Linked DNA regions of Schizosaccharomyces pombe. Each later gene encodes a partner of the first gene's protein in a complex. Each region holds a gene or a part of one and is shown on either strand. Other genes may lie near its edges. The genes, in order: cut7 and nda3. A codon is read from its position in the direction of its gene.

Region 1 (6,536 bases):
TTCTTTCTTTTCGGTATCAAAATCTAAGTCGTAAAACTCCAAATCATATTGAGTAGAGGAACCAAGGGTTGCAGCAACCATAAATCTACCCTTAGGCGCCATAAAAAGTGAATTGCATGTTTTCTTATCAAAAGTAATGATATGACGGAAAGTACTAGGGGTGTTCTTTTTCTGCTCAAAACCATAAAACGATAAATTAGTTTTTACATTTGTAGAATTTAAAACTTGATCATTAGCTGAAATTATGGCAAAACGATCACTCTTAGGTTCCCAGGCAAAATTGAGAACAACATCCTTAAGATCCACTACTTCAACGGGAATATTTTTCTCACGAATTCGGAATATTTCAAGGTTAGAGAATGTTGATTTCTTAGTTTTTGTGTGACGATCAACCTTAACACATAAATAATCACCATTAGACTGCCAGTACAACTTACAGTCGGAAACATTGAAAAGATTTTTCGTACGGATAGTTGATTTTGAAGGAATACTAATTAAGGCAACGCGAGCAGGTTGATTGGTAATTTCAGGGGTCCAGTAAGCTAAAAGCTGCTCCTTGGAATCACGTCCGAGAGCATCTGAAACTGGGCACCATTCAAAATTTTGCACACCGTCGATCTTGATAGTTTTCTTGTCAACCAAAGCAAGGGAGGGTGTCTCATAAACAGAAATCGACTGACCAACAGTAACGCGAGCAAGGTATTTATCATCGGCAGACCACTTGAAAATAGGCCAAATAACTTTTTTGCCATCCTTTGAACCTTCTGGTTGAGGAGGAATCTTAAAAGAACGAAGAATACGACCAGAGGCAATATCCCAAACGAAGCAATGTTTTCCTTCATCATCATCAGTGAAAGGCATTGTTTCACGAGCCGGATGTCCGATGGGAGGAAGTCGAACAGGCTCATAGGACCATGAAACAAGATACTTCTCGTTAGGGCTGAAGTCGACAAATTTTACGTAGGGGTGCAAGAAACGAGCACACATTCCCCAAGATTCCCCACCCCATAATTGAATACCACGAAGATGAAGTGATACGAGGTAAGTGCCCATGGGAGACCATTGCACGTAGGTCTCGGTCCAGTTTTCACGATCCACAATCTGTTCAGGGACGTCGCTCTTACGGTTCCAGTTAACAGATACACGGTTACCGTAATAGCTGATAAATTGATCACGACCATAGTAATCAGTTAACCAGCTACGCAAATGTTCGCGCTCCTTAAATTCACGTTCTTCGAAACTAAATTCATCAGGAGTGCTAAAAGCTTTTTCGAGTTGATTCAACTTACGAACAACGAAAGTATGGTTTTTTAAAATTTGCTTTCCATCCAACTCTTGAACGCAAAGATCGGCGCCATCAACATTTTCAAAATCGGCGAAAACTAGTCCAAGAGACATCTTTTTTCCATTTTTTTCCTCAAATGGCATATAAAATCCATTTTCCTTAACCTTTCCAATTTTAGCAAGGACTTTTGAGCTCAAAAAACGGAAGAAATCTTGCTGCTTAGCTTCTTCGACAACTGGAGCACCTTCGATTACTACAACCGTGTCATATCCAACAGGTTTAGTTACATTAAGCTTAACTTCCAGTTCAGAAACATCGATTTCCTCGTCCTTTACGACGATTTGATCCTTAATTTCCTCAATTAGGATTTCCGACATTTCTGGTGTAGTGCCGTTGTCTCTAGTCAAGTTTCTTCACCCAGTGACTGGGGGGACATCGAAGAGTAACTTTAGAGAAATTTAAAAAAAATTGAAAGTAATGAAAAGTAGAATTTAAAAAACATGGTATCATTTAAAATAAACTAATAAAGTTGATTCTGTTTTATATTTCTTCTTTTTTAGATTTTAACTCATTCTACCGATTTTGACTATTATCATTACTGACAACAGTTTATCTGCCAAGTTCGTTCATTTTGTATTGATTTTTAGTATTAGCACAATTGTTGGATTTTTCATAAAAGTTCTTTTTTCTCTTTTTATACTGTTGATTTGTACTGCAAAACATTGGAATGAGACATTCCAAGTGTTACCGTGTCTGAGTCCTCGTTCTTGTTTACAACAATTCAACAACATACTCAGGAGCGACAATTGTCCAATTTATTCATTCTTTTTACCCCTAAAAACAGACGTTTACGATCTTTTCCTATTTTAAATTTACCCCTTTTTTTTATATTGTGGTTTATTGAACTTTACAACAGAATTGCAATTTAAATTAACAACCTTGTCGCTTTCTTTGTAACAATCCTTACTCATAAAACCGAATGGCCCCTAGAGTTGCACCTGGTGGCTCACAACAATTTCTAGGAAAGCAGGGGTTGAAAGCTAAAAACCCGGTTTCTACTCCAAATTCACATTTCCGCTCTGCGAGCAATCCTAGGAAACGACGTGAGCCTCCTACTATTGACACTGGGTACCCAGATCGCTCCGACACTAATTCTCCGACAGATCATGCACTTCATGATGAGAACGAAACCAATATTAACGTAGTCGTCCGTGTTCGTGGTCGTACAGACCAAGAAGTACGCGACAATAGTAGCCTTGCTGTATCGACTTCGGGCGCTATGGGTGCTGAATTGGCCATCCAGTCGGATCCTTCATCCATGTTGGTCACGAAGACGTATGCCTTTGATAAAGTCTTTGGTCCTGAAGCTGACCAGTTAATGCTATTCGAAAATTCGGTAGCGCCCATGCTGGAGCAAGTATTGAACGGCTATAATTGTACTATATTTGCGTACGGACAAACTGGAACCGGTAAAACATATACTATGTCTGGTGATCTTAGCGATTCCGATGGAATTTTGTCTGAAGGAGCAGGCCTTATTCCTCGTGCCCTTTATCAATTATTTTCCTCCTTGGACAACAGTAATCAAGAATATGCTGTCAAATGCTCCTATTATGAACTTTACAACGAGGAAATTCGCGATCTTTTGGTTTCCGAAGAATTGCGAAAGCCAGCTCGTGTTTTTGAAGATACTTCGCGGAGAGGGAACGTTGTTATTACTGGTATTGAAGAAAGTTATATAAAAAATGCTGGCGATGGGTTGCGATTGTTACGTGAAGGCTCTCACCGGCGTCAAGTTGCTGCTACAAAGTGTAACGATCTTTCATCTCGTAGTCATTCAATCTTCACGATAACTCTGCATAGAAAGGTATCTTCGGGAATGACAGATGAAACTAATTCACTTACCATAAATAATAACTCTGATGACTTGCTGCGCGCCAGCAAACTTCATATGGTTGATTTGGCTGGAAGCGAGAACATTGGACGTTCTGGAGCTGAAAACAAACGTGCTCGAGAAACTGGAATGATCAATCAATCACTATTAACATTAGGCCGAGTAATTAATGCATTAGTGGAAAAGGCCCACCATATTCCATACCGTGAGTCCAAGCTTACACGCCTATTGCAGGATTCTTTGGGGGGAAAGACTAAAACCTCTATGATCGTTACCGTATCTTCTACTAATACTAATTTGGAAGAAACAATTTCTACTTTGGAGTATGCTGCTCGTGCTAAAAGTATACGCAATAAGCCTCAAAATAATCAGCTTGTCTTTCGAAAAGTCCTTATAAAAGACTTAGTGTTAGATATCGAACGATTGAAAAATGACCTTAATGCCACCCGTAAAAAGAACGGAGTTTATCTTGCTGAAAGCACGTATAAGGAGCTTATGGATCGTGTTCAAAACAAAGATTTGTTATGCCAGGAACAGGCTCGCAAACTTGAAGTGCTGGACTTAAACGTTAAAAGTTCGAGGGAACAACTGCAGTATGTTTCTAAATCTAATCAAGAACATAAAAAGGAAGTTGAAGCTCTGCAACTGCAACTGGTTAATTCATCTACAGAGTTAGAAAGTGTAAAGTCTGAGAACGAAAAGCTGAAAAATGAACTAGTTTTAGAAATCGAAAAACGAAAAAAATACGAAACCAATGAAGCTAAAATTACAACTGTTGCAACAGACCTTTCCCAATATTACCGAGAATCAAAAGAATACATTGCTAGCTTATATGAGAAGCTTGATCGCACTGAACGAAATAATAAAGAAAATGAAAACAATTTTTGGAATCTTAAGTTCAATTTGTTAACGATGTTGAGATCTTTTCATGGAAGTTTTACTGATGAAACAAATGGCTATTTTACTTTGTTGAATGATTTTAATGCTTCAATGGAAGAATTATTGAACACCCACAGTAATCAACTGCTGATTTCTATGACCAAAATTACTGAGCATTTTCAGAGTTTAGATGAGGCGTTGCAAAGTGCTCGTTCTTCTTGTGCAGTACCTAATTCTAGCTTAGACCTAATTGTTTCTGAATTAAAGGATTCCAAAAACAGCCTTCTTGATGCGTTGGAGCACAGTCTGCAGGATATTAGCATGTCTTCCCAGAAGTTGGGAAATGGAATTTCTTCGGAATTGATAGAATTGCAGAAAGACATGAAAGAATCATACCGACAACTTGTTCAGGAATTAAGATCACTATATAATTTACAGCATACTCATGAAGAATCACAGAAGGAGCTAATGTATGGTGTGCGTAACGATATTGATGCTCTGGTTAAAACTTGCACAACATCTTTGAACGATGCAGATATAATATTAAGTGATTACATATCTGATCAAAAATCCAAATTTGAATCCAAGCAACAAGATTTGATTGCTAATATTGGTAAAATTGTTTCAAATTTTTTACAGGAACAGAACGAATCTTTGTATACCAAAGCGGATATCTTACATTCACATCTCAATGATACAAACTCGAATATAAGGAAAGCAAACGAAATTATGAATAACCGTTCAGAAGAGTTTTTACGGAATGCGGCTTCACAAGCAGAAATCGTGGGTGCCAATAAAGAAAGGATTCAAAAGACAGTTGAAAATGGATCTCAACTGCTTGACAGTAAAAGCAAGGCCATTCATAGCAATTCCAGATCAATGTATGACCATTGCTTGGCTTTAGCGGAGTCTCAAAAACAAGGTGTTAATCTTGAAGTTCAAACGCTGGATCGTTTGTTGCAGAAAGTAAAAGAGCATTCAGAAGATAATACCAAGGAGAAGCATCAACAATTACTTGATTTATTGGAATCCCTTGTTGGCAACAATGACAATCTTATCGATTCCATCAAGACACCGCACACTGAATTACAGAAAATTACAGATCATGTTTTAAAGGGAACGACATCACTTGCTAATCATACTAATGAATTACTTGGTTTAGGAGATGAATCTCTATGTAACCTTGAAACTACTATAGAAGACACGTCTTTGGTGAAGCTGGAAACAACTGGCGATACACCTTCCAAACGAGAACTTCCTGCCACTCCATCTTGGACACGAGATTCGTCTTTAATTAAGGAAACTACGAATTTAAATTTAGATTCGGATAAGAAATTCGTTAGGGAAACCTACACATCGTCTAATCAAACTAATGAGCCGGACGTATATGATAAACCATCTAATTCATCAAGAACTAGTCTTTTGCGGAGTAGCAGAAGTGCCTATTCCAAAATGAAACGATAATGACACGATTTTATTAATTTATACTTAATGGACGAAAATACAATAGAAATGTATTACATCTTGGGGCTTTGGCTGGTTAAAACGGAAAGTTTGGTTATGTGTGTACATACTGCGTTTTAAATAATAGTTTTAGGAGTTGTATACATATAAAGATTAATTTAGATAGAAGTTTAATGATATACAGACGAGGTTAATCGATATACAAGGACTCTGGAAAAGGGGTGATACATTAGCTATGTTCTTACTTTTACAATATTCGAAAGCAATATACAAGACTGATAAAATCTTTGAAGCTACAGATATGGCGTCAAAAAGCAAATTGAATCGTAAAAGGTGTAACGAGATTATATTTTTTGCAAAGATGCTCTTAACAACAATGGGCCAAAGCAGCTTTAACGCAATCTTCTGGCCTCACGCTCTGATTCAAGAAGAACCAAGATGTCATCTTCACGAACAGGTCCCTTAACGTTACGAATGATAGAACGAGAAGTGTCATCCATAAATTCGACACGGACTTGGGTGACTCCACCACTACAGAGAAGTTAGTAATCATTGCTTGCTGGATATACAAAAGCGAGGAATAATTAGAATCTTTTATGTTTATTCGTTTAACACAAATCAATTTATGTGAATACAATATGTTGAATTTAACAATAAACTGACAAGTTTCCCAAACTTACCGAGAACCGGTGCGACCGAGCACTTTAATGACCTTTGCCAATTTAACAGGAACCTTAGAAGAATCCATTATCCTCTTGATATGTATAAGAGTGCGTGGTGTTTAGGAAGAATGTATAATGCACCGCCTAAAATTATGGGGAACATTGTGACTGCTTTTTCGACATTGGTGGTGGTAGTTAGTAAACGGTACATACCGATGCGTGCGTGAATTGACTGTAACGCCATAGCGTACAAGTAATCCGTTACTAATAATTAGAATGGATTTGGTTAACCACTTGGAAGATCGGTTACTTTTTGCTGTTCCCAAAAGTAAGTGAAGCTTTTAAAGAAGCA
Region 2 (4,286 bases), on another chromosome or scaffold:
CTCTTTTGGAAGGCGAGGAGGTGTAGGCCTTTTCAGGTTTCCAGCATCATGCAAACATCTTGTTAAAGCTTTATTGTAATTTTTAAGAATGACAGCACGTAAATTACGATTAAACATTGTTTTGGTGCGATTGCAATGTAGTAAATAAAGTTCCTAATATACTTTTATATGAGTAAATTTCAATTTCGGCTTTTCGAAGCCACTCAATATTTCTCGTCGTTGACAAAGGCGAATTTAGAAAGTGGCGGATTGTTATACTGGTGGACGTTTATAAGTACTGGTATATCAAACGAGTTTACTTTCACAAAACGCAACATAAATACGATACGTAGCAGTAGGTGATAATTTAACTAAATTAATAGTTTATTGAATTTACAAATCTCACTGCATCTTTTGGTTCTACTTTTGGGAATTGACACTTAAGTATTAGACTTGCTTTATACATTTACTTTGTAATAGTCAAATATCTAAGCATATATTAGGGAATAGTAAATAGCTTTAATTCGTACGGTTTGGACTTACAAAAGTACTTTACAGACTTACTCGTGTTTATAGTACATTTCCACCTTGGTAGCCAGGCTAAAGCTATATTTAGAGTGTAAGGAGCATTTCAAAGCTATGAAAAAAAGTAAAGAGCGTTTAGCACAGACGATGCTTGGAATCCATATGCATCGGAGTAAAATAAAGCATTTCAATGAATGTAGGAAAAAAGGAACGTAGATAAACACTATTTGAAAATATATGGCACACTTGGATTATAAAAAGGGTTATAAGGGTTTAATACTCGAGAGGCTCCTTCTCTTCTTCAATTTCATAATCTTCATCACCCTCATCGATACCAGCCTCCTGGTATTGTTGATATTCGCTAACCAAGTCATTCATATTAGATTCAGCCTCAGTAAACTCCATTTCGTCCATGCCTTCACCAGTATACCAATGCAAAAAGGCTTTTCTTCTAAACATTGCAGAAAACTGATCACCCAAACGACGGAAAATTTCTTGGATAGAAGTACTGTTACCAATAAAAGTTGCAGACATCTTGAGATCCTTAGGAGGAACGGAACAAACAGCTTTGAGGACTATTTCGAGGTTAGCAGATGAGCATAAACAAGTAGAAAAAATAAACTAAATATACAAACGACGTTTTAAACCAAGTAAACATACCATTATCGGGAATCCACTCAACGAAATATGCTGAATTCTTAGTTTGAACAGAGCGAATTTGCTCGTCGACTTCTTTCATTGAGACTTTACCACGGAAAAGAGCGGCAACTGTTAAGTAACGGCCATGGCGAGGATCAGCGGCGACCATCATATTATTAGCATCAAACATTTGTTGAGTAAGCTCGGGCACAGAAACAGCTTGAAATGAGCTTGAACCGATGGCGGCAAGAGGAGCAAATCCTACCATGAAAAAGTGTAAACGAGGGAAGGGAACCATATTAACAGCTAATTTACGCAAGTCAGAGTTCAATTCACCAGGGAATCGGAAAGATGTGGTTACACCAGCCATTACAGCAGAGACAAGATGGTTCAAGTCATCGTATGAAGGACTCTTGATTTTCAACGTGTTAGCGAAAATTGAAGAAAGAGCCTCATTATCAATGCAAAATGTTTCGTCAGAGTTCTCTACCAATTGATGCATAGAAAGAGTAGCATTGTAAGGTTCCACAACGGTATCAGAGCTTTTAGGAGCAGGAGCAACGGAGAAGGTAGCCATCATACGGTCCGGATATTCCTCGCGAATCTTCGAAAGTAAAAGAGTACCCATACCAGATCCAGTACCACCACCCAAAGAGTGAGTTAATTGGAAACCTTGTAAAGCATCACATGCTTCAGCTTCACGGCGAACAACGTCCAAAACAGCATCGGCCAATTCAGCACCTTCAGTGTAATGGCCTTTAGCCCAAATATTTCCGGCACCAGATTGTCCATAAATAATATTGTCCGGGCGGAAAAGATTTCCAAACTTTCCTGACTTCACGGCATCCATAGTACCGGGCTCTAAATCAACAAGGACTGCGCGGGGAACATACTTTCCACCAGCGGCCTACAGTCGTCAGTACTAAATAAACAAAAAAAAATTTTTTCAAAAAGTTTTAAGCAACCGAACACTTGTAAGAAAGCAAAAAAACCTACCTCGTTAAAATAAACGTTCAATCGCTCGTGTTGTGCCTCAGAAGTTCCATGATATCTACGTAAAAGTCAGTAAAAAAACAAGCAAAATAGACCTACATTCCAGCTGAATCCAAACCATGCTCATCAGCAATGGTAGACCTTCCAAGCGTTAGTTGAGAGAAACGTTATAACAAAGTAGATTTTGCTTACCAAAAGGCCGCACCGACTTGGTTTCCGCATTGACCAGCTTGAATATGAACCTATTGATTAGCTTTGAATATTAAAATAGCTCGTACAATCTCACGCATCTAGACTAATTTATGGTGGTTTGTTTTGATGATCAGTTTGGTGGTAGGTGAGTTTCGTTAGGAGGAACGGATTGAGAATACCAAAAGTACCAAATCGTTTTTATACGTTTCAGAAATTCTAAAAACACAGTTTATTGCAGTTATTTACTAGTAGGCTTTTAAAAAAAATTTTTGTGTATTTATTAGCCGATTGTTAATTGAAAAGAATCAAGTCTTAAATCATTGCTTATTAAATAGTTTACTTCTTTTATATACAAGCTTTTTTTCTTTTCTTTGGTAATGTATGTAACTTTATTTATTCTTTAGTTTATATACATAATTATTAACTGCTAAACAGATTAATTTGATATTATGCCATATTCAGTAGTAGCGCAAAATAGTATGGTTAGAATTGTTTGTGTTTATCCTATCAATTGATATAAAAATGAAATGAAACTTATAACTGCACGTTAGTATCAATGTCATTTTCCGTACATATTCAATTGACTTTATTTAAGCCAGCATGCATTGATTTAATAATTTCCCGTATTAGCGAACCTATTACTTAAAACTTCTCCCATATCAAACATTACTTTTACAAGTAAATGTAAAACAACACATTCAAGAATACGGCATATATGCAAAAAAAATTATTTATATATTAATTCAAAAAGTAATAGCTAGTAACCATCAACACCTAAAGATTTTTAAAACCCGAAGAAAAACCGCAACCGAAAACCAAATCCCAAAATATAAGCTCTAAGCAACAATAGCTTTTTTCGTAAGTTGAAAACTCTCAAAAATCATTAAGGTCAAATTCTTTGGCCCACTCAGTAACGATTTGAGTATCCTGAACTTCAGATGAGTTCTTTTCGTTTATAACCTCAGGCTCGGCCCACCATTCGATACGACCAGCATGCCAGTCATTAATGACAATATTGGCAGCAGCGTTAAGATTTGGAATTCCACCGCGACCTAGACGACCACGCTTACGAGCAATATTGACTAAAAAATCAGTAGCAGTGTCTATATCGGATGTATTCAATAGAGGAGGAAGCTCATATCTTTGAAACATTCTTTCCAATTGTCCTGGAACTCTGCTAAGGAATTGCAAAATGTAAGAAGCAACGGCAACGGGATCATCAACTTTGGTGGATGAAACAGCATTAAGCATTACAAGACGATACAAATCGTCTTTAGAATCACTAGAAGGAAAAACAATACCAGGACTATCGACCAAACGTAATTTGTTATCTAGCTTCACCTCTCGCAAAGAAGTAGTCATTCCGGCAACGTTTCCGGCAGGACAAGGTGCAGAACGACCATTCGCAGAACGGTTGACAAGAGCGTTAATAACAGATGATTTACCAACGTTGGGGTATCCAATTACACCGACTGTAAGAGAGCTTTTAAGCTTCTTCTTGGCTGAGTAAGACTTGAGTGATTTAAGAAGATTGGAGATAGTGGAACTAGCAGAAGCCGACTGGTGCTTTAAATTTGAGTTTCCAGATCCTGAAGCGGAACGCATAGGAATCGTAGGAAAGAAATTGCGGAGATAGGTAACCCACTTGTTGAGTACTTCTGATGGTACTAAGTCAATTTTGTTGATAACGAAAATAAGACGCTTTTCTTCAGCAGAAGATGCTAAAACTTGACGTTCAACGTCTTTTGAACGAGTCCCTTCAGGATCACGAGCGTCAAGAACGTAAAGAATCACATCTGACGCTTCAACAACTTTTTTGAACTCCTTATCATATGCCTTTCTAGAGGTATCTGCCTTCACTGATGCCTCATAAGACTCGGAGTCAACTAATAAAGGGGCCTCTCCAAGGTTGTCTTCTTCCATCACAAACTCTTCCTCATCATCTGGGTTAGACGCTT

Evidence for each region.
Region 2: the proteins of cut7 (region 1) and nda3 are in contact, whole or in part, in a cryo-EM structure (PDB 6S8M), measured with the Schizosaccharomyces pombe proteins. Residues at the interface, in NP_594527.1 of Schizosaccharomyces pombe: Glu217 (codon at 2,913), Arg233 (codon at 2,961), Val234 (codon at 2,964), Phe235 (codon at 2,967), Glu236 (codon at 2,970), Arg345 (codon at 3,297), Gln352 (codon at 3,318), Arg359 (codon at 3,339), Ala368 (codon at 3,366), His369 (codon at 3,369), His370 (codon at 3,372), Pro372 (codon at 3,378), Arg374 (codon at 3,384), Glu375 (codon at 3,387), Ser376 (codon at 3,390), Arg380 (codon at 3,402); in NP_596650.1 of Schizosaccharomyces pombe: Pro160 (codon at 1,732), Asp161 (codon at 1,729), His190 (codon at 1,642), Gln191 (codon at 1,639), Glu194 (codon at 1,630), Asn195 (codon at 1,627), Phe260 (codon at 1,432), Pro261 (codon at 1,429), Arg262 (codon at 1,426), Met406 (codon at 909), Glu410 (codon at 897), Ser413 (codon at 888), Asp417 (codon at 876), Ser420 (codon at 867), Glu421 (codon at 864), Gln424 (codon at 855).

Annotation. Positions count from the first base shown.
Region 1 is NC_003424.3:4,305,705-4,312,240, reverse strand, and holds cut7 (kinesin-5 family plus-end directed microtubule motor, bimC subfamily Cut7), read left to right. Parts: upstream 1-1,903; 5' UTR 1,904-2,264; coding exon 2,265-5,522; 3' UTR 5,523-5,730; downstream 5,731-6,536. Other genes in the region: tif302 (translation initiation factor eIF3b (p84)), read right to left, coding at 1-1,662; rps2801 (40S ribosomal protein eS28), read right to left, coding at 5,915-6,053, 6,203-6,270; his1 (ATP phosphoribosyltransferase), read left to right, coding at 6,461-6,512. UniProt on the Schizosaccharomyces pombe protein: Could be a spindle pole body motor. On transition from G2 to M phase of the cell cycle, the spindle pole body duplicates; the daughter pole bodies seed microtubules which interdigitate to form a short spindle that elongates to span the nucleus at metaphase.
Region 2 is NC_003423.3:3,963,499-3,967,784, forward strand, and holds nda3 (tubulin beta Nda3), read right to left. Parts: upstream 2,476-4,286; 5' UTR 2,427-2,475; coding exon 2,415-2,426; intron 2,379-2,414; coding exon 2,329-2,378; intron 2,278-2,328; coding exon 2,236-2,277; intron 2,195-2,235; coding exon 2,140-2,194; intron 2,051-2,139; coding exon 1,165-2,050; intron 1,080-1,164; coding exon 778-1,079; 3' UTR 594-777; downstream 1-593. Other genes in the region: protein Sdh8, read right to left, coding at 1-117; GTPase Grn1, read right to left, coding at 3,202-4,286. UniProt on the Schizosaccharomyces pombe protein: Tubulin is the major constituent of microtubules, a cylinder consisting of laterally associated linear protofilaments composed of alpha- and beta-tubulin heterodimers.